4 linked regions of the Drosophila melanogaster genome follow. The gene in region 4 interacts genetically with the main gene of each other region. Each region holds a gene or a part of one and is shown on either strand. Other genes may lie near its edges. The genes, in order: nau, lola, Rbfox1 and kn.

Region 1 (7,815 bases), on a different chromosome or scaffold from region 4:
GGAGAGTGCGGCTGGGCGAGCATGATATTACCACCAATCCGGATTGCGACTTTACAGGAAACTGCGCTGCCCCCTTTGTAGAGATCGGCATCGAGTATTTCAATGTCCACGAACAATATTTCAACACCTCAAGGTTTGAAAGCGATATCGCCTTGGTGCGTCTTCAAACGCCAGTTCGGTGAGTATTGCAATATAAGGCATCATTTTCTGACTATTATGAACCAAAGTTTTTATTTCCTTAGATATACCCACGAAATTCTACCGATTTGTGTGCCGAAAGATCCCATCCCCTTGCATAATCACCCATTGCAAATCGCCGGTTGGGGCTACACGAAAAACAGAGAATATAGTCAGGTGTTGTTGCATAACACCGTTTATGAAAACAGATATTATTGCCAAGACAAGATATCGTTCTTCCGCAACGAATCACAAATCTGTGCTTCTGGCATTCGAGGAGAAGACTCCTGTGAGGGTGATTCCGGAGGTCCCTTGATGTTAACCCTTAATAATGATTACCAGGATATCGTATATCTGGCCGGTATCGTTTCATATGGAAGTGAGAATTGCGGAGATAGAAAACCAGGTGTTTACACAAAGACTGGAGCATTTTTCTCATGGATAAAGGCAAATTTGAAGCCATAACTTTCTTGCTAAGGAATCTCGACTAGTGTATGGTGTTTGTTAATATGTGAATGCATTTTGTTTGTATGAGTGAATGTGTTTTTTTTGTGGATTATGGAATTATGGAAAATTCAATCAAGTAGCCAGTAAAATCAAATATGCACATAAGAATGAGTTTTAATATGTATTTTATTTATTTGATTAAATTAATAACACAATAAATCGAATTTACTTAATGATTTTGATTTTTTAAACGTTCTTTTCTGAGTTACATTTGTGCGTTGACAGTACACTGCCCGAAAACAAAGGCCGATAATGATTAAATTTACAATTGGGATTATCGTGTGGCACAACAAATAGTCTTTGCCACCAAAATACCATCAGACCGAATCAAAACAAAGCATCCATCAAAGTACGGCAAGATGGAAAATGTGAGGAGAAAATACGAAATGGAAAAAGACGAGAAGGGAAAAGTGGAAAAATGAAGATGGAAAGTGCTCGAGCAAACCACGGTCCTAAGACAAAAGATTTACAATATCGCTGGGGAAGATTTAAAGGTGATTTCCAAAGATATATATTGTGCCTGAGCAGCGATAAATAAACACAATTCTTTGACTATTTTTATTTCGGCCTCTCCTATTTTATTTATTTTTTTGCTCAATTTCTCGCTTTTTTCTCGGCCGTTGCAACTATAACTCAATAGAAAAGTGGCTGCCATTGATGGGATCTGTGGACGGGGGGCCGGATTTTCCACTAAATGTGTCACATTAACGAATTGTTGAGCTCCCCGAAAGCTAATTTATGCCACCACCTCCCCCACCAACCCACACTAATCGCTGGCCAGGTAAAATTCAATTTATTTGATTTGAACTAAGCCTTTCACAAACACGCTTCACATTGAGCGGAAAATCGCGTTGAAAACTCACGAAAATTAAAAAAAAAAGGGGAGGGGCGTGGCCTGCGGCAGCGTCCTTCTGCCTTAGAGAACCGCCAATGTCGTCTAATGGCGGGGCGCCTCTAAAAATAGGAACCACTCGAGAGCCACTCAGCCACTCAAAACGCAGCAGCATCCGCACTCCGAGAGGATCGCGAGCACATCTGGGGGCCCACGATATCTTGGATTCTTGGATATTGTCACCAAATGTGTTGCGATTGCGACGGAAGGCGGTACACACACTCGCGTACGGTCCGCAAATCGAAGTCGAAAAATATTTTTGAAAATGTCGGAGGTTTTTACAAAGCATCATTAAAGTGTAACCAACTAATTAAGGTTCTATTTTAAAAATCCCGAAAGTGAAACTATAACAAATTAAATTAAATAGAAACCACAGCCTAAAACTTGTGTGTAACCATAACTCATAAATTTGTGTTAATGACCTAGCATACCTAGAAAAAGAGCTTAAACCACGTTAAAAATGGTAATAATCAACTGACTAAATTAACTGTGCCATCGTAATTAGTATCAGCAATTAAATTCAGCAACTTGTTGAACTACCAAAATTGTTTTGTAAAATATAACAAAATCGTAGTGAAGTGAAAAATGACCAAGTATAATAGTGGCAGCAGTGAAATGCCTGCGGCTCAAACCATCAAGCAGGAGTACCACAATGGCTATGGTCAGCCGACACATCCTGGATACGGATTTAGCGCCTATAGCCAACAGAATCCGATAGCCCATCCCGGCCAGAATCCACACCAGACACTGCAGAATTTCTTTAGCCGCTTCAATGCCGTCGGTGATGCGAGTGCGGGAAATGGTGGAGCGGCTTCCATCTCAGCCAACGGATCGGGTTCGTCTTGCAACTACAGTCATGCGAATCATAATCCGGTTGAGCTGGACAAGCCATTGGGCATGAATATGACACCGTCGCCCATCTACACCACCGACTACGATGACGAGAACAGCAGTCTCAGCTCCGAGGAGCACGTCCTGGCGCCCCTCGTCTGCTCCTCCGCCCAATCCTCCAGACCATGCCTCACCTGGGCCTGCAAGGCGTGCAAAAAGAAGAGCGTCACCGTGGACCGTCGGAAAGCGGCCACTATGAGGGAACGCCGGAGACTGCGAAAGGTAGGCATCCCATGCTCACATTACACACATTTTCAGATTTATCAAATATTAAAAACATATTGTGCAATAACTACTGATACAAATACAGCACTTTCATCTTTCAATCATTCATTAAAAGAATGGTTCACTTTAAAAGTAGATTTTTGATTCATTCAATTCATTATTATAATAATAACTTAAAACTGCTTATGGGGACTTGAATATAGGCATACCACTCAGAACTCTGTTCAAGAGTCCTTTTCCATCAGCAGGCTTATTAATCCTCGGTCGATCTTAAAAATAGATTACGCCACAGTTCGCAAGTCCCCTGCGTTTAAGGACTGCAACTTTGTAGTAATTTCATTAGCTCGGCTAGCACCCCACAAATTAACACATCGCCACCAGGGAGGATCGGATCCATTGACATAACGCGCAGAAAGGGAAACCACCCAACATGCGTAAAACATAAACATTTGCCAAGACCAAGAGTTAAACAGCGGCATTTATGAGTTCGACGGTCGTAAAAGTTTTGGATGAACCACACGTATTTATAGCTCCACATAGAGACATTAGTGAAAGGCGGAAAATCGTGGGAGCTCCGGTTAGAAGGGGTATGGTGATGGGGGGCTGTCATAAAGAGACAGACGACGGGCGAACGGCTTAATTGTTGAAAATTTTATGCTCTATTTAATTTAAAATATGTTTTATTAAAGAGCCACTTAAAAGGGGAACACGCCGCGTGTTCTGTGTTTTTATGGCACGCCTAATGGATTTCCATGATTTCAACGATGGCCATTAATTGATTATTATTCCGTTCACATTCTAGGTTAACGAGGCCTTCGAGATCCTCAAGCGACGCACTTCATCCAATCCCAACCAGCGCCTGCCGAAGGTTGAGATATTGCGCAATGCCATCGAGTATATCGAGAGCCTGGAGGATCTGCTACAGGTAAATGAGTGAACTCATCTCACCGCGAATAGAGAATACCATTGGTTAAATTGATTATCTTAGGAATCCAGTACCACACGCGATGGCGACAACCTGGCGCCCAGTTTGAGCGGCAAAAGCTGCCAGTCCGATTATCTGGTAAGTTTTGTCCACTAACCGCCAATTAATATTAAGCCCACAATATCGGCGCGTATATCGTTCCGCAATTATTTTCTCGTAAAATTCTCATGCATGAGCAGCGCTTTCGTACATTTTTCTTTGGCGACGCGCACATTCATCAAAATCTCAGGGTCTGGTCCGTCGCAATGGCGAACATGAAAATAGAATATGTATACGGACGGATCCCCGAAAGAGTCAGTCCCCAAACTGTATCTGATATCTGTTGTATCTGCTGACCGGAATTTATGCGCTCGCTGACGTGCTACTTAATAAGCTACGCCGGCAGCCCATCATCCACATTTCTGAATCACATTCACTCGAAAACCGGGAATATTATGAGTTATGATCGAGAAAGTTTGCCCAGATGTGAGGGGAGCAAACTTTTATCAAAGGAACGGGGGAAAAAAAATTTAGAGGAAAAATAGCTGGAGAATTTAGGAGAATTTACAGGGGAAAGGGTCGTTGTCTGCATTTAGTGAAAGGCAATAAATAAATTTTCTTTTTATAAGCCCGAATGGAAATCGTGTTGTAAATTAATTACAACAAATTCGTTGGAGCAGGAATCGGCACCAGAATCTTCATCCCCATGTTTGGTGGATTGCGACGATCGCTTTTCTGTTTCATAATAGCTTCCCTGCGACGTGGAACCAAAACCGTTGTGGCAGTTGACAAATTGCACAGGAAAAACATGACAAGATCTCGGGGTGTTCTTCTTCGAAAGGTGTTGCAAGATATGGCCAAGTCGTTGGTCATTGAAGGGAAATGAAAATGAATGAAAAATGGGGGGGGGGGGACGGGAGCGGGTTGTACATGCATATCTACTCCCGAATGACAGGGCAACAAATTGTCAACAATTATGCAAACATTTTTGCCATCATCTTCAACGCCCTCTTTTCTTTTCATTTTCATTTGACTTTCGGGTTGGCCTGCGCTGAGTAATTTCCATGCAGTTTGTTTAAGTTTCTCACAATTTTAATGTACAAATTTGTTAATTTACCATAAAACTTAGCGTATTTGTATGTTGACTGCGCCCCCCATTGGCAGATATTAATGTGCGGCCATAGTTTGATTAAAAACTGGCATAGCGCCAAACGTGCAGACATTCAAATGCATCTCAGACCCTGGCAATCCATCCATCTCATCCATATCCATTCATTTGGAGCCCGTGTATTTATAAACCTCGGCGACTTAAGTAAAAGATTTCCTTTTGAACTGTTTCCAACACGAAATGCGAACGCTAAGTTGGCCCATAAATTTCCTTATCGCCGCCAATAAAGTGTAGTACTTGCGATATACAAAAGTGCCACCTTGTCTATATCAGTCAAATTTCTACGTAATGAAATACATAGCCGCAATCATTGAAGTCTTAAGATAGAGCTTTTCGGTGCAAATGACTCACGGAAAGATGTGGGTAACGTGGGTGCAAACCATCCATTTGGACAGTGAGTCAGGATTGATCGGATTCCCTACCATTCAGTTTTTAAACTATTATCAGGTACAGATATGCTACCGAAAACTTTTGTTATCTTTGAATAGCTTTACAGCTACACTATTAGATATTTTCTACGAATGGAAAGCAGTTTATAAATGATATTGCAAATTATTGAGAAGAGATAATTGGTGTGATTTTTATGGTCTAACCACCACTGATAATCTTTATCACACGTCCCCGTTTCAAAAAGTAACTTTTTCAGTTTCCGAGAAAGATTGATTAAATAATTCCGAAAATAAACATCAACATTATTTGCATCTTATTAAAAATGTAAATACATATCTGGCAAGTAGTTCTTGCATTTTTTCGGTGATATTTCCGAAATGGATTATGAGATCTTACGACTGACCGCACAACTCGCAGAGAAGTGGCAATATTTTTAAAGTGGGTTTAGTATATTAAAAGCATATTTCATGGTAAAAACTCATGCAACTTATGGCTAACAAATCGCATAATGCCGCATATCCGTTACACGCTCACAGATCGGAGGAGAACATCTAAGGGGAACGCGCCAAAAAGCGGCTTAAAATCTTTACGCAACCGAAGAATCGGAATGCCCAAGTGATAAGTGGCATTTCATTCAGATACAACGCATGATATATGCTCAAAAAAAAAAAAATAAAATAAAATACACCGAAATACCATAAAGACCTGCAAACAAGTACACAGAAAGAAGTCGGGCATGTCTAAAAATATATTTCGAACATGCTTGTTAAATTGAGAATTTATTTCCAAAGAAATTTTTCAATATTCGGTATTATATTGTCATATAAATAGACTTTATTGCTTTTAACCCAGTTGTGCTATTTTTGTGTAATTTTTCCCAGTGTATCCGCTTGCTGACTGCGGCATATCGAGCGCAGGCTGTCACTAAACGCTTGAAAAAAATGATAAATCGCTTTATAAAAGTGCAGTGTGAGTTCATCTGCTCTCGTTCAGTTTAGTTCACTTCACTCGGCTTTGAATGCTATTCTGTTGTTTTATCACTCCGTACTTTGTTGTCCGCTAAATATAAACAGACGTACATACATATAAGCCATACGGGATGCCCTGTATTTGTCGATCCTTGCAGACGAAGTGACGGCACTTTGGATGCACCAGATGCGGATTTGGGGGGGGGGGGGGGGCAGCAAGGAAACCCACCCAGAAGTGGCAATTATAATTTGCTTAGCATCGGCGTTATAGCGAATTTTTCTAATGAAATCCCGACCGAATCTCCGGATGCCTTGTCTGTCGTCTGCGTATGCGCAAAATTAATTTAATTGCCTCTAAAGTGCACTGCACACAATGCCCCACAATGTTGGGGCAGACAATGGGTGTGGTGCGGTGGTTCAATGCGTTTTAATTGGCCTGTGGAATCTCTTTACTGGCATAAATTTTGGCTTAATCTCATCATTAGACTGCATTCTGTATGGCACTCGTTGGCCAAGTTGACAGGACCGGAGCAAATTTGACGTTGTCATTTCGACGGCGACACTTTTCTGTAATTTATTGTTTCCCCAATTTCGCTTGAGGCCAACTAAAAAAAAAATATATGATTTTTCCATTTGTATTTATTTATGTTTTTCCTTGCAGAGCTCCTATGCTGGCGCTTATCTAGAAGATAAACTTAGTTTTTACAACAAACATATGGAGAAATATGGTCAGTTTACAGGTAAAAGTAAAAAAAAAAAAGTATTTGATGTATTTATCTAAAATATTTTTGTATAGACTTTGATGGCAATGCCAATGGCTCCAGTTTGGACTGTCTAAATCTGATTGTTCAGAGCATCAATAAGAGCACCACGAGTCCCATTCAAAATAAGGCCACGCCCTCCGCTTCAGATACCCAATCGCCGCCCTCATCCGGAGCAACTGCACCCACTTCTCTGCACGTGAACTTCAAACGGAAGTGCAGCACTTAGCACTTAAGTATCAGCACCTTAGGCAATTGTAAAGCTATTTTTAAGAGGATACACGAGATACCCAGTGACCCGAATAGGCCTTAAATTATTTGTATAGCATTAGAACTTAATTAAATGGTAATTCAAAACAGCAACTAGAGTCGTCTTACTTAATCTAGCTCCAATTTGCGGAAGGAACCGCTCATCCCGTCCAGTTCTCCATTGGCCCAGGCACTGGCCAATCCGACGCGCAGTTTCTCATTAGTACCATACTGGGCATCCTTGGCCAGATAATCCTTGCTGTCCAGCAGCTTCTGGCGCCAATGATCCACTGCCTCTGCCTGATAGCCATTGGTGCCACCATACTCGATGGTCATCACATCTCTGGGCAGGTGCTGGTACAGATCCTCCGACTTTTTGTGGACCACGAACTGTGTAGAATATTGTAGAGATTAATTACCAATCCTAACGCAATTCAAGCTTTTTGATGATAGATTCACCTTGAAAGGCAGTTTGGAGGGCAAAAACTTCGTTACAAAATTGAATATGGTTTGTCCCTCCTTGCGCATATTGATCATATGAATCTCAACAAATCGCAGTGGTATGCATTGGTCCACCAGAGCAAATGCCTTCTTCAGCAGGAAGGGATCGTACTGCATCATCT
Region 2 (4,762 bases), 4.3 Mb from region 4:
ACAAAAACATTAAAAAATAAACAAAAAGCGTTGAACAAAATTTCCAACTTTTATTGTTAATTTCTTTGAGCGCAGCTTTTTTAAGCTGCTGCGCGGGCGTCGACGCCGACAGCGCTACACTGCAAGAAAATATTAGTAATAGATCGGTCAAAACACTTTTCCAAATCTTACGTTTGCTCTCAAGGCATTGTAATGTGCCAATTGAGTTAGAAATCAGTTAGAAATTATATGCATATTAGCAAAAATGTAGTTTCATAAATGAATTTAAATTCTACATTCCAGTAAAAATATGCTTACTGACTTTAGTTAATCATAACACATATGTATTTCTCACCGTGTAACAGCATTATTGTTGTTCTTGTTTTTCGTGTAATTATGATCTTGTGCTGACTTTTTTATATGTACATGCATGTGTACATATATTTGCTCAAATCAAGTAATCAGTTATATTTAAGCATCAAAATCAAGTTTTGGCAATTGCTAATGCAAGGCGGTGGTAAAAAACGACCAAAGATTTATACGAATGTGTGCCGTGAACATTGACGATTTTATTAGAAAGTAGCAATTGGCAAAACAAACAGATATGCAAAATGGCAAAATGCAAAAAAAAAGAGTGGATCCATAAATTGAAAGTTTAATCTTTTCTTGACACCTTTCTACTTCCCCAGTCGGGAATTTTAATTGCCTCGCAAAAAATAATGACAGGTGTCTGGTGAATTATCTTCTTCAGCGCTAATAGCATTTATTTTATTTGTAGTAAAATTACCTAAATTAGCTTTTTATGTACATTTACAAATTTTAAGTTCTGCATCTGCATGGTGAGATCATTTCAGTTGCCGTGTAAGCTTCTTAAAAAAAACTGTGTATATATGAATGTATATATTCTTTCATATATGTATATGTATATAAATTTATAATCACATAAATATTTATGTACTTATGTAAATATTACATAAATGTATGTACATAAGTATGTTCCTCACTGCTTTGTAATCTCTAAAAATTGTAGAACCTACATTGTAAATTATGTATGACCTTGACATTTCATAATTTTTTAGAAACATTTCCACTTGGTTTATAAGAATTCGTTAAAAATTATGTTATGTATGTACATACACACATTTCTATGTACATATGTACATAGTACATCATGTGGCTTAAATCTCGTATTATGCCATGCTCTCATTATGCTTATTATAACTCTTATACATACAAAAAGTATTATAAAAGTGTTTCCCACAAATTCCACGTTTTATTTGACGATCTAAATACATAGCTTTTTACATAGAACTCCATGTGCCATATTTCCTTATGTGCTAAGCAAAAAAAAAACACATTTTCTTTGCCTTTTCATTTAGCGCGACTTCCTTTTGCCACAACCCCTTCTTCTTCTTTCTTTTCTTCCCCTCAATTCCCGCGCAAAACGCTTTTTTCCAACGAGACAGTTGCAAAAAGCAATCAACTGTATCGTGGAGTGTCCCCATCTCGCTCGCACTCACTTGTTCTAGCGCACGAACGATCTTCGGTTTTTCGAATGCAGCAGAAAGAACAACAAAAGCAAAAACTTCGTGCTCACACACACACGCAAAGCCTATTTCTTTTTTCGACTTTTATTCGAACTTTTTTGCAGCGATTTTTCAGTAACAAACGGCAACTCTCAGGAATAAAATCGTCGTCGCTCCGCTCGTTAAATTCTCGTTGCTTTTCCACCCACATAAAAAATCAGGATAAATTGTTAGTAGTCTAAAAAACAGTGCGGATTGCATAAATTCAAGCGGAGCACCGATTGGAAAAACACCCACGGAAAAAACTATGTGATGTTAAATACGTTTTTGTGTCGAGTGCATAATTTGTTGTAATTAAAGTTCAACTGCAAATGCAAAAAGACGAAATATATAATAATTTATAGGTGTTTGTGAGTGTTTGCGCCCCCTCTCCTGTGCAACGTGTGGGAAAGAGAGAGAGGGAGTGAGAAAGAGGGAACGTGACCGAGTTGCCATGAAAACTCCAATGGAAATTCAGGTGAGCGATTGTCAATCGACGTGATGTTATGCGGGGACCATCATCTCTATACGTTCACCTTTCATATGCACACTGTAGCCGTCGAAAAGATCTGTAGAATTTATGATTTTGCCACAGAAACGACACTCCTCGCATCAATTAGTATTGGTTAGAACATTTGGCATGCGTGTAGAATTTCGCACAGAAATGTTAATTTTCCAGCTGAAAACCCGATGAAACCGTTAAAAATTAAGGTACATATTTAGGTACACATAATTTGTACACCGAAATTAGAGAGAAAACGCGCGGCGATGAAGTCATGCTGGAAGCCAAAAATAAATCAACGCCGATCATAAAAACGTTTGGAGAGTGCACAAAATATAATTTGCGCTTTTTAGTGGGAAATGCATTGCACACACAAGCCGAGACCATCTTTCATCTCCCTCGCACACCCTTAAACAACTGCAACGAGAGATGGAGAGAGGTGTCGGAGTGGGGGAGAGAGAGAGCTTGCTCGGCAACGGTAATTTTACCATTTCGAACATTATGGCTTCGCTTTGCTGCGAAAAAAACAAGCAAAGCTAAAGCAACAACAAAATCTCGCCCCATGGTGGAAAACAAAAACAATACCAATGCGAATGATATTTTCGAACTCCGCCAAATATGTGCAAGCAGAGTTGTCAGCCTCGTTCGTTGTCACTTACAGTATATGAGGTTCTATTGAACAACTTTATTAATTAGTACGTACGACTCACATCTCACTGTCTATGCCAAATACTATTTACCACGTAGAGACCCTAAACAATTTTTGTGATATTCATATTCAATACTTTCTCCAATTATATTTAACATTGTCTTGAGATTAGCAAAAACGTTATCGTGTTTTTATAGACAGGCTTTTCAAGTAGTGTAGTTAGTAAATTTGACGTCCGTTGGAAACGTATTTCCTTCTTCCTTGATGTGGAACTTAAATTAGGTGGCAACCAGATAATGAAAAGCGTGTCCTCCTTCTGCATCATCCTAATTTGTCGATCTTTTGTCGTGAATTGGCAACTCTGTGCGCCAAGCATACAAAAAGCACACGTCTGAAGAGGGGTGGCAAACAGGCGACGTCAACTTATTTTTCGAACTCACACTCTCATTCGCACTCACACTCTTCGGGTTTCGCTTCGGCTTCGTTTCCAACTCTCTCGGCGCTCTTCGGGGTCTCTGCTTATGGGAACCTTTCGTTTTTTCGAGCACCAGCGGAAAGTCGCGTCAGTCGTCAGTTTTTCTTCAGTGGCTTCGCGCGTCCGCAATTTTCAGTGTGTGGTGCGTTGTTGCTGCTGCCTACTCTTTTCTTTCTGCTCTCCACGGCAGCGGGAAAGGAAAATACATACACATGCATACAGGGCCCCATCACATACAGTAAAAATAAATTCAACTTTATTGCTTTTCCCCCCGTCGCGTTATCGTGTGTGTGTGTATTAGTATTATATATATTTTACTATATATATACATATATGGATTGGAAAAGCAACACCAAAATTTGATATGTGCAAAGTTTATTGACGACTACGTGCTGCCTGTGATTCTATTTCGGTGTGTATATAAAATTGATCAATAATGTTTTAAAGTACCGCTTAATAATATACAATAAGAACTTGCATTTGAACTGTACCTGGCAATTATCTGCCTGAGATTGTGTGTGTTTTTGCATATCGAATCGATACTTCCAGTGGTGTTTCTATCGATTTTTCCCTATGCTCACTTCACGGGAGAAAGCTTTTCACCAATGTACGAAAAGAGACAGGCACAGACAGAGCAGGAGAGGGAGAGCTTTCCCACAAAATGCAACGCTGAAGTAAATGACGGGCGGTTTTCATTAATTTTCACACACGCACACACTGCCAGTGGCTCACTTTCCATGCAAATGAGGTCAAGTGTTGCAGTGGGAAATGTTTTCTACAAGTACACGTGTATGTGTGCGCGAGTAGGAAAGTTATATAAGCTTTTCATTACCGATTGCGACGAGGGAAAGCTTGATAAAAAAAACTATGATTAGTAAACACGAAGATTGCCAAGAGCGAGTTCAATTAATTGCTTTCTATTATAAACTCCTACAAAAAAGCACGTTTTTCATTTCGATAGATTCCCAAAGTCTTGGTGGCCGCCATCTTGGTTTTTCCCCCACACATAAAATATTTTGTTCAATGCTAGGCTCTCTCGCTCTTTTGGCTCCCCTTTTCTTTCTCTCCCGCTCATTTTGTCATACTCCCTCGTCAGTTTTTATGTTTGTTCACGAAAAACAAAAACAACAAGCGTGAAATTTTCTCTCTGCACTTTTCACACACACTTAGAAAAGTGGGAGAACCAGACGGCTCAGCATGAGGCAAGGAGGATGATGAGGAAGGGAGAGAGAGAACAGTCGCCACATATTTTTGTTTCCACTTTGTGCTACACTTCTGCTACGCCGCTTTTGTTGTTTTCTTTTCGACACGTTTACACATTTCCATTTTTCATATTTTCGTGTCGCCTAATCTTTTTTATGGGACTGCGCGACGTTGCTAAATTTCACTTGTGACTTTTGCAAAAGTTTCATTTGTTTACATTCTACGCACATGTGCAGAATAATAACAATAATAAATGAGATATAAAAAAGCTTTTGCGCAACAAGTGTAGAAAAGCAAAAACTGTATTTTTCTCTTTGGTTTCTTGCCTTAATTCTTTGTTTACAATTTAAACTTGTACACTTCTTTCAAGTCATCAACTTTTTTTCCTT
Region 3 (4,908 bases), on a different chromosome or scaffold from region 4:
AGCTAGTTTAAAAATAGAATTTATTTATGTAATTTAAAACAGTGCTTGAAGAACCTGCTGTGCTGGCATAAAAAAGTATGGTCACACGTGTGCGAAGCCCCCCCCCCCCTTGGCTTTTCGCCCAGCAGTTTGGCCTCGTTTTTAAATTGAAATCTCTGCAGCCAACACTGGACATTGCCTTCATTTCCCCGCGGACAGAGAAAGGGAGAGTTGTCCCTGCATTTCTCCCGTCCTTGCGGTGCTTTAAATAATTGCTTAGAAGCCGACGAGCAGACTCAGTGGTAACAATAATAACCGCCCAAGCACTCCGACTATGATAATAATAGCAAATAGAACCTGCCGCAGATGGAAATGCCACTCGGACAGACGCCGCTCCCCTTTCTCTTACTTTTCCACATAAGCCTTTGGCTTATGACCACACCCCCCCACTGCAAATGCATTTCACTTACTCTACACACACACACACACTCGTATAGTAGAGAAAGTAAGGGCCAGTGAGAGTTTGTGTGTTTATGCTCACTTTTAATGTGCCATATAAAATAATTTAATGACCGGCCAGAGACGAGGGTGTCTCCTGGTAATGAGAAAAGCGATTGGACAAAAACGGGTGGCTGTAAATGATAATAGTGGCATATTATGATGCAGATAGTCATGACAAATGGCTACGTCGAACTTTAATTGGTAAGCGGACTTGGACTGGATCGCCATATAGAAAAGCAATTATATCTGTAATTATAAACTTATCTATTTGCCATTAAGAATGGATTACAATGTTTGAATGCCATTTGTAAAGCCATAATATCTACAAAGTATAAGTAAACAAATTTACAAAAATGACTACAAAAAAAAAGTCTTAAAAAGTACTCAATACAATTTTCATGTAAATCAACCCTTTTCCATTTTCTCTTTCTCTCCTGCTGAATTTTAAATTGTTATTTTTAAATATTTTCGTTGGGCTTTTTCTTCGAGCTTAATCTGCGGAAAATTTTCCATCGGTTGCCTTAAGTCAACCCTAATTAGGTTATTCTTGGCAATCCCTTGCTCAATCCCCTTTTAAAGCGGCCTTAAAAAACGGAATTAATTTTCCGAAATTTATATTTTTCTTTTGATTTCTTTAGATTTTTGGTTTTGCTTTCGTTCTTCGTTCCCGATTTTCGTCCTTCCACTTTACTGTCCTGGTCATTTTCTACAAAATAGTTGCGCTTTATTTCCAGGCAACTTCGTCGCTCAAGTGACAGCTGTCCTCACCTCCACTTCCGCTAGAATGTCAATAAAAATTCAATTACGTTTTCCGCCAAAGAAAAGTTGCTGCTGAAAATACGTTTTCCTTATAGCCTTCTGTTTCCATTTAAAATTGCCTCTCTTTGTCGAACGGAATTTGTTTGCCAGCCTGATCGATTTGTGATGCTGGGCCGTGGAAATGTGGAAATCAGAGACTTGGGCACTTATACTTAATGGCCTAATTATGTAACCAAACGCCCACACACAAATAGGCTGAGTAAATAATCATAATAATCAGCATTTTGGCGGGGGAAAGAAGAAACCATAAACTTCTCGGGGTTCAAATAAAAATAAATTGTGCGACTAGGCTTGGGCAATTTGGCGGAAATGGTTTTCTGCCTTGAACACATATGTTTATAAGATTTATTCTGTTTTTCTGCTTATTTTTTGTGGTTAAATAGTTGGCCAAGTTTATGCTGATGATGCCGTAGGTCGTTGTGCATTAAACCAAATTTAATGTTACCTTTTATCAGGTGGCATTAAAGAGCTCTTTCACCAAAAATATACATTTTTCTCATCCCTCAAGTAAGCATCAAACTGTTATACTGACTGTAGTGTTATACGGCAAAGGCTGCTGCATACTTACAGGCTCTTTTGCGCAAAATTTCAGTCTCCCATTGCAAGTGCTCACGTGAGGACGGAAAACATTTTGCTCATCGCTTTCGCCTCGCGCATTGGCAAGTCGCGTAAAATTCTCGTGTTAACAGGAAAAACGTCACAAATTTTTCAAAACCACCCCAAGTCCCATTACCCGCAGTGGGAAAAACCTCAAATTCCTTGGGCTATCCGTATCAATCAACGACTAAAGGCTTAGTGTCCCTTTGTGATTGTGTGTGCTTTTTGTGTGTGCACTGTGTATTTCGTTGTGCTGCCGGCTTCAATTAGCAGCTTTTCCTCATTCTGCCCGCTGCTCTTGTGTGCGTTAGATTAATGAGGCAAAAGTGTTTTGTCGTGTCGTGCGTTAAATATTTAATACAATATCAAATAAATGTTGCATAAGCCGCCTGTCATTTAGCATCTAGTGCCAAAAGCAAAAAAAAAAAGAAAACACAAAAACGTGTGTTTGTTTCGTGTGTTTACCACAAGTAATTCGGACAGCAAACGGATTCTTTTTTCACGATTCACAAGAGCACGTCGATCAAGTAAGCCTTAGCTATTAAATATCACAGAAATAAAAATGTATCCCATTTAGCACATTAAGTTACCCATTTGAACAGCTTTTATTGGACTAGTCTTCCGCTGAGATATCTTGAGAATTTGCCCATTTCCCAAACGCATTTAAAACATTTTTATTGCCCATTTTTGCTTTATGTCCCGCATTAAAACATCTCCCGCTACGTAAAGATAATTTTGATTTGATATTCGTGTAATTTTTCCATTTGTTATTTGCCCGACTTCCATTGTTGATGGTCTGGCAGGGAATTTCGATTTGCGTTTACCCTTCATTTATTTTCAGCTGGAGATGCAAATAATGGTAGAAATGCCCGCAAAAATACTTTTACAGCAACAGGACTCCGGGGCCGATTTTCATTTCAAATTGCTCACATTAAGGGGCCACCCCCCCCCCCACCGGGCATCACAATCTCCCCCCTTTTATGGCACTCACATACCCTGTATCTGTGCATATATCCCCTTATTACCCAGCGCAGAGTACGAAATTAATTGTAACCAAACGTTTTGCTGCTTGCCGCAAACTTACTTTTATACTAGTTCATTTGCCACGCCCCTATCCCCCACGGAATGGACGCACAAAGACAACTAAAAGGGTATACACGCACAGCAACACTGAGAGAAATGGGTTCTGCATCGATAGTTATAGTTTTTAAGCCAAAATGTATGCTTATATTTTCTATTGCTTAATTTAAGACTTCTTTTTAGTGACTTTGAGCCTTTACTTTAAATAACTTTAAACTTTACTTTAAATAACAAAATCGAAGTTGTGACAACAGTTTTTCCTGCGTGAGCTTATACAAACACGTGCATGTACATGTGGAGCAAGAGGTAGCTAGCATCCCAACTAAGTAAATAATGCGTAAAACAAGTCAAGCGTTTTACAAACTCACCCATTTCGCCATCCCGTTTCCCCGTTAAACAAAGGGGGTTTCCACTGCAAAACGGGGAGTTTCCCCCATTTAGAAACAGCAGAAACAGTCAATTGTAAAATTGCTGCAGCCAACAAAGCGTGGCAAGGAAGCTAAGCGAGTGGCTCAGACTGTTTCCATAGGTAGTTGTTGCCCGATGTTGATGACGGCTAGGATTGCCGGATTCCCGGCACAAGAATCTCCACCGTATGTAATTCATTATTATGCTGACTGAGGCTGGAAGGCACTGACGGTAGAAGCCAGAAGCAGGAAAAAATATTTGCGCACATGTGGCTAGAGTTTCCATCACTTCAGCGTGCTGCTGTTATTCTTGTTAAGGCTAAAATTGTCTGTCACTTTGAGACTTCCGTCATCTGCAGGATAAAAGCTGTGGGCGAAAATATGCGAGCGAAAAATGAGACTCCACATTTTGGTTGTATGCTAAATACTTCACGGTCCACGGTCCTGTTTATGCAACAAGGATGTCTTTGAAAATATCAACGTTGGTTCGCAAAAAAGGATACCTATTGTATATATCGGGCTTAGAAAAATAGGGGATTTTAATACTAAAAAGTTTTAAAAAACTTAAAACTTTCGTGACATGTGAAGATGGCTCTCATTTATCAACGCTACAAAAGTAGCTCAAAATGGCCCTTTTGAAAATATAAGGACATGAAAACGATCAAATATACCACCTGTGTCGCAGTCAAAATGTAACAACAATTGAGAACAATAAACAAATGGCACACAAAATCAAAGTTTGGTTCGCTTATCTTTGTTTGACTTCTCTTCACTTTGACCCACCAAAAAGTTTTTATTTTTTTATAATGTCCTCGAAAAATGAGCGCCATAAATCATGGGGCGTAAATATGCCACCCCCATTTATCTCGTCTAACAAAGGGAAAACTTGCACCGTAAATTTGTATAAGCAGCAATTACTTAAAAAACTCCGAACCTTGACTTGTTTAGCCAACCAATGAAAAACTCTATTGTCAACTACAATATTTTTCCACAGCTCCATTTGCAGTTATTTACATGAGCAGATCCACATTTTTGGGTGGCAGATGGGTGCTGTGCCTGATATTTTTTTTTATGCTTACTTGCGACATCGCATTTTTGCACAAGACTTCTAAACTATATTTCGGACAATATGCAACATGATATTTTTCATGCTTATTCAACAGAAAAAAAATGAGAAGAGATTGCACATACGTTCCTCACAGAATTTCAATAAAATAGAGTAGGAATTTATGTGCACGATATGTTTCCGAGATTCTATGAGCATGTAATTTGTGGGTATTTCTGTCACAGTTTATATGTACAAAAATGTGCATTGCAGTATGCAGAGATCTAATGCTTTCCTTTTTTTTATTACTCAACTCATTTTGAAACTAGCCTTTTTAAATGAAATTGCCAAGCAGTATATACTTATATTATTGAATATTGATTTATTTAATTATTATTTGAAATGAAAAGTATTTTATTCCTTCCATTTTGTAACCCCTTTTCATATCCTTGCAAATAATTTGTCTTATTATGCTCCCCA
Region 4 (5,001 bases):
CTCAAACATTCAACAATGGCAATTTCTTTTTTGAGTGTGAAAGTTTGTCCACTCAGCGATCGCGTGAATAATCAAACGTAATGCTGATTTTGAATAGCCATATTTTAGGAATCGTAATAAAAAGCGAATTTGTTGTGCGGAAAGTTTTGCTGGACAAACATTGTCGCAAAGTTAATGAGCTACGCGAATTTCACAAACCAGTTTGGGTTTCCGGATGGGTTCGATAGGTTTTTGGGTATTATTAACATACTAGCACCCGTCGACCGACTTGTTAATTCAATTAATAATAAACACGATAGCAGCTCCGACTAGCGATGATGTAAGTGCACAATCCGGCTTAAGCTCTCCTCAAATTATACTCAAATTTGCTTTTTTGCTCACCGGAAGAGGCCGAAGCGGTAGTAATCGCAAACAAAGCGATGGCAATCACAGCGTACTTCATTGTGAAGCGGTATGGATCTGTAAGAACACACACTTCGTCACTTAGTAGGGTTAATTCAGCGGTTAGGGGTATGCAGAGGGGCCTATCTGCGGTTAAGCACTCACAAAGACGAAACGAAAGACTGAGGCAGCGAACGCGTGAAAAGTTCCAAAACGACTAAGCTCGCGGTGCGGCTCCCTAGCGCTTATATATGGAAATTTCGAATGCTGACGCAGTGCGAACCATCTACATCATTATCATCTAAAGCTGGAAGAACAAGCAGAAGCCGTCAAACAGGCAGAAGAGTTGGGCAAATAACTCCACCGGTAGGTAGACTGAACAATAAACAAATACAGAAAAAAAAACAAGAGGCAGGCATTTAAAGTTTCTTAAAACCTCTGGCTGTGGCTCATAAACGTAAAGTTAGGCTCAATGATTCATAAGGTTAAATACTATCACATCTCTCAGTTAATTTCCCCTCTCTGCAGCAGAGTTTATCTCACATATAAATCCACCCAAAAAGTTAATGATTATGGGAAATAAACACATGACGAAGCAGCGAAGCGCCAACGGGGAATTTCTGTTCTGTTTGTTTTCACTTTATTTGTATTTCGCATTATATATTCGAACGCCAAACTGTTTTGGCCAGCTCGTGTAAATTGGCCAAGTGCCCTCGCTTTTTCTTATTGTACTTTTTTTGTACCCAGTCTGCGCCTTGAGCTCTGCTTTTGACCCGATTCGTGTTTTTGGCAATAAAGAACTTCTCGAACTTCTTCTCTTGGGCTTGGGGCAATAACCTGATTACAACGTGGCCAACACCTAACAAACGGAGTTTCAGAGAAATATTATGCATTATACATACATTGCCGATCATAAAGCTAAACTATATATACTCATTTGTTTAATGGCTGGCATGCGTCCACTAATTATAATATTTTGTGAATTTTAATAATATTATGCCTCGCTCGGTTTTACCGCTCCATCTGTTTGAAACAAAACTGGTTTTGATGGGATTTTCGATTGATCTTGCTCGACGAAATGAAAACAAATTTTGTTATTTAATTTTACATTATCATATATGTATATTCCAGGAAATCCTTTCAATTAACCGGTTATTTGGGGATTATTGTTTTTAATTGCCTAAAATAAATCTAAGGCTTTGATCAATCAAGAAATAATTGAAGACAAGTTGTGCAACACAAATTATATTGCATATACACATTTTGCACGTTTTGCTGATAGAAGTAGGGTATTTCTAACAAGTACAATTAAATAGACATATGTACTTTTTTCAGTAAAATATTACCAATTTTTCACGCACTACTTAAGCCAATCTACCACCTTAATTCCGTTTTTTTTCTTTTGAACACATGAAAAAATTCAATTCCTTAGATTTATATTAATCTAATTGAAATCCACAAATTTGTTGCCATTTGTTGTGCAGAAGTATTTTTGAATTTCGCACACGTTCGTTGGCAAAAATATGTACAAATATTGAATACGAAAAAGTCAAGGAAAAATTCCATTCTTTTTCTCGCAAAAATGGTGACAGAGCAAAATGCTGACCGCCGCCTACTAGGAAAAATAATCCCCAGCCGATTTGAACGATTTATTATTTGGCCCAGCCAACTCGGAGCCTGTCCCGGAATACCCGGAACCATTAATCATCCGAGTCCAGATCCAAGTCCGAGTCCGAGTGGTGGACAGGCGGCATTGCAATTGGTGGACATTTTGGAGTGGAAGAAACTTTTGCGGTACGTGGCAACGTGTTGAAATTACAAAATGTGTTAAAAAATGAAAGAGCAGGGCGGGTAAAAAGCAAAATAATATATTTCATTCACACACAGACTTTTGTCTCTGCTCCGCCGTCCATATAAAAAACATAAATTTCCTTTGAGAATAGAACTTCTGGGATGGAGAGGGGGGGGGGGGGGTGCAAGGTGATTATGTTTGACAGCCGACTTGGGACACGAAGCACCGCCCCCTTTTTCATCGCCAAACAGGACATGGGTATTAGATCCTGGCCAAAGTGCCAAAACTGGCCTCACTTTCCGTCTGATTTACGGCCAACTATTTTGTTTAAATTTTTACCACTTCCCTGCTATCGACACTCAACTTAAAACATATAAAACCAACTATTTAAAGAGCAAATAAAGTTCAATTTGATTTTCTTTGGCCTTCGTTAATAATTTTCCTGCATCTCTCTGGGGATCAGCGAAAAATATGAATTATTGAAACAGCTGAAGGAAATAATATAACCAAATCGGAAGGCCAAATCTGTTTAATGTTTCAGATATGTTGGTGTGGGTTGACCAAATGACAATATGCTTTTTAGCTTCAACCTCCCTCAAGCGAAATTGATTTTCATGGTTTTTCTGTTTTTTCGCCTAAAAATACACAAAAGAGTCGAAAAAATTTGACTGTGATTGTCACTTGAATGTGTGGGTTGGGAAAACCACTCCAAATCCACTTCACCAAATATGTCAGTATGGAATCACGAACCTCGCTTGATTTCTCCAGTGATTTTTCGCAATCAGCCTGATGAGGATGTGCCGAGAACGTTGCTCATGGAGGCAGTGCTATGATTAGTATCCTTTCAGCCAGGTCAAAAGTGACGCTGCCGCATGCCAAGTGGCCTCGGCCAAATGAAACTTTAATGCGAAACAAGGACAAAAGGCTGAAAGAAGGCTGCCTGATGAACTACGTGATGGTCAGACAAATTGAAGTTACACTGGAAAATAATTAGCTAATTTCCTAGTTTGCTTAGGTTAAGGGATTAAGTAAGAATGTGTTTAAAGGACTCTTTTATAGGTAACTTGTTACTCTAAAGAAAACTTATCCACAGAATAGATGTGCTATTTTATCGCAGTGTATGTGGATAGTCAACGACAAAGTGAAATGCATTGAGGTTGGTGGCGAACAAACGCGACCTGAATCGCGAATTGGAATAGCCAGCCTACTCCGCCCCCTCAGGATATATAGCTACTTCGACTAGCATATGCGCCAGATAGTATAGCTGGCGTATCAATTTCGATAATGTACTTGGACCGCGAGTATCTTTATTATCCTGACTGCTGTGCAATTATTTCCGACTGCTTTACTGTCGTACCGCTTTTCCGAGTCCTGGGAAACGCAAACAAAGGATATTTCGCGCACACGCCTCGGACATGATTGCATCCGGGCAGGAAGCATTGCGTCGTGTCCTTTTTGCATCCTTACATCGTCGCTTCCTTCCTGCCGATCAGAACCCCTGGCTGCTTTTCATCCGCAATTTTCACGCCCACTTTGTTTGATGATGACAAATCTCGTTGCGTGTTATCAGATTGGCCAACTTTCCGTTGCTATTCCCCCTCGTATTGCATAATTATGTTTATCTTTGGAAGCTGCGCTCCTGCCACGTGTCCTTGCGTTTTGGTTAGCTTCCTGCGATTTTGCTCGGAACGAGTGGCACGTGCTAATCGGCGGTCGTCTGCACCGCCCATGCAACCAGCCACCCCCCCTGGTAAGTGCAACCCCGCCTAACATGTCCGATAATTGAAATCGCTAAGCTGAACAACGGAATCGAAATGGCTTCATTAATCAGGTCACTTCGATGGCAGCGCATAATGTTCTTCAAAAATTTGAATTGGGGGCGGTTGAAAAGAGGAAATTGGTCTATATAGCACTTAGCGCGATTGAATTTGCTCATTTTGTGTTACCTAATTGGGGAAAAGATGTTTCGGTTATTAATCATGAGTGATACTTACTATTGTATTACAAAAATGGTGCATATATCAGAAGATATATATTATTAATAGATCTTAAGGAGCATTTGTATCCATTCACCAAAATATGGTAAAAATAAAGCTTAAATTAAATTTGCTCATTTACCTTTAAGGACATCCTTTGCTTAATGAGTGCACTCATGCCCACACCCACTCGCAACCGAATGAGTGTCGCCCTGCGGACGCATAAATTATAAATAAAAGCCTCACACACGTGGAGAAAGAGAGGTGTATATAACCTTAGAGAGAGAGAGAGAGGGAGAGCTACAGTCTGAGGCCAAGAAGTGTGCTAAATATTTAAGTACTTAAAACCATAAACCTGAGTATTTATAAATTGGCTTTAACAAGCTCGTATGTGACGGTGGTTGGGTGTGTGTCTGTGGGCTGACCCTTTTTTCGGGCACAAGGATCTGCTCGACTCGATTCCATTCATTAGAAATGCTCACTAATGTGCCCGACTTAATAATAATCAAATTTATATGCATGGTTATGTCCTTTAGAGCAGGACCACAAAACTGAAGTTTCGAGTGGATTGCGAATGGGATTGGCTGTTAAGTTTACGGAGAAACCTTTGAGAATGAGACGAAGATAATATGTCAATATCCTTGTTTTCCAAAATGTCTGACCAAAAGTGCAGATGTCCAGTATCGAAACACGCCCAAGACCGGTACCGTTATTCTGCTACCAGTTTTCTTGTTTGTTTTTGTTTGTTAGCCAGCTTGTTTGTGGCCGACACTGAGACCAAAAAGGCCAAAAAGGTCGCCCCCTCGGGATTTCCTTAGTCCTGCTGCCAGCTTCTTCCTTCCACATTCTTTT

The links.
Region 1: of kn (region 4) and nau, changing one enhances a phenotype caused by changing the other (phenotypic enhancement), as found in Drosophila melanogaster (one study listed by BioGRID).
Region 2: of kn (region 4) and lola, changing one suppresses a phenotype caused by changing the other (phenotypic suppression), as found in Drosophila melanogaster (one study listed by BioGRID).
Region 3: of kn (region 4) and Rbfox1, changing one suppresses a phenotype caused by changing the other (phenotypic suppression), as found in Drosophila melanogaster (one study listed by BioGRID).

Annotation. Positions count from the first base shown.
Region 1 is NT_033777.3:23,712,303-23,720,117, reverse strand, and holds nau (nautilus), read left to right. Parts: upstream 1-1,760; 5' UTR 1,761-2,161; coding exon 2,162-2,689; intron 2,690-3,494; coding exon 3,495-3,617; intron 3,618-3,680; coding exon 3,681-3,755; intron 3,756-6,804; exon of another isoform or gene 6,805-6,843; coding exon 6,844-6,922; exon of another isoform or gene 6,923-6,978; coding exon 6,979-7,172; 3' UTR 7,173-7,304; downstream 7,305-7,815. Other genes in the region: CG10232 (uncharacterized protein), read left to right, coding at 1-178, 243-642; CG10300 (uncharacterized protein), read right to left, coding at 7,322-7,582, 7,652-7,815. UniProt on the Drosophila melanogaster protein: May play an important role in the early development of muscle.
Region 2 is NT_033778.4:10,540,165-10,544,926, reverse strand, and holds the start of lola (longitudinals lacking), read left to right. Parts: upstream 1-1,635; 5' UTR 1,636-2,022; intron 2,023-2,931; exon of another isoform or gene 2,932-3,086; intron 3,087-3,153; exon of another isoform or gene 3,154-3,582; intron 3,583-4,762. UniProt on the Drosophila melanogaster protein: Putative transcription factor required for axon growth and guidance in the central and peripheral nervous systems. Repels CNS axons away from the midline by promoting the expression of the midline repellent sli and its receptor robo.
Region 3 is NT_037436.4:10,479,523-10,484,430, forward strand, and holds the start of Rbfox1 (RNA-binding Fox protein 1), read left to right. Parts: upstream 1-1,889; 5' UTR 1,890-2,423; intron 2,424-4,908.
Region 4 is NT_033778.4:14,804,024-14,809,024, reverse strand, and holds the start of kn (knot), read left to right. Parts: upstream 1-1,963; coding exon 1,964-2,175; intron 2,176-5,001. Other genes in the region: hui (hase und igel), read right to left, coding at 382-442. UniProt on the Drosophila melanogaster protein: May act as a 'second-level regulator' of head patterning. Required for establishment of the PS(-1)/PS0 parasegmental border and formation of the intercalary segment.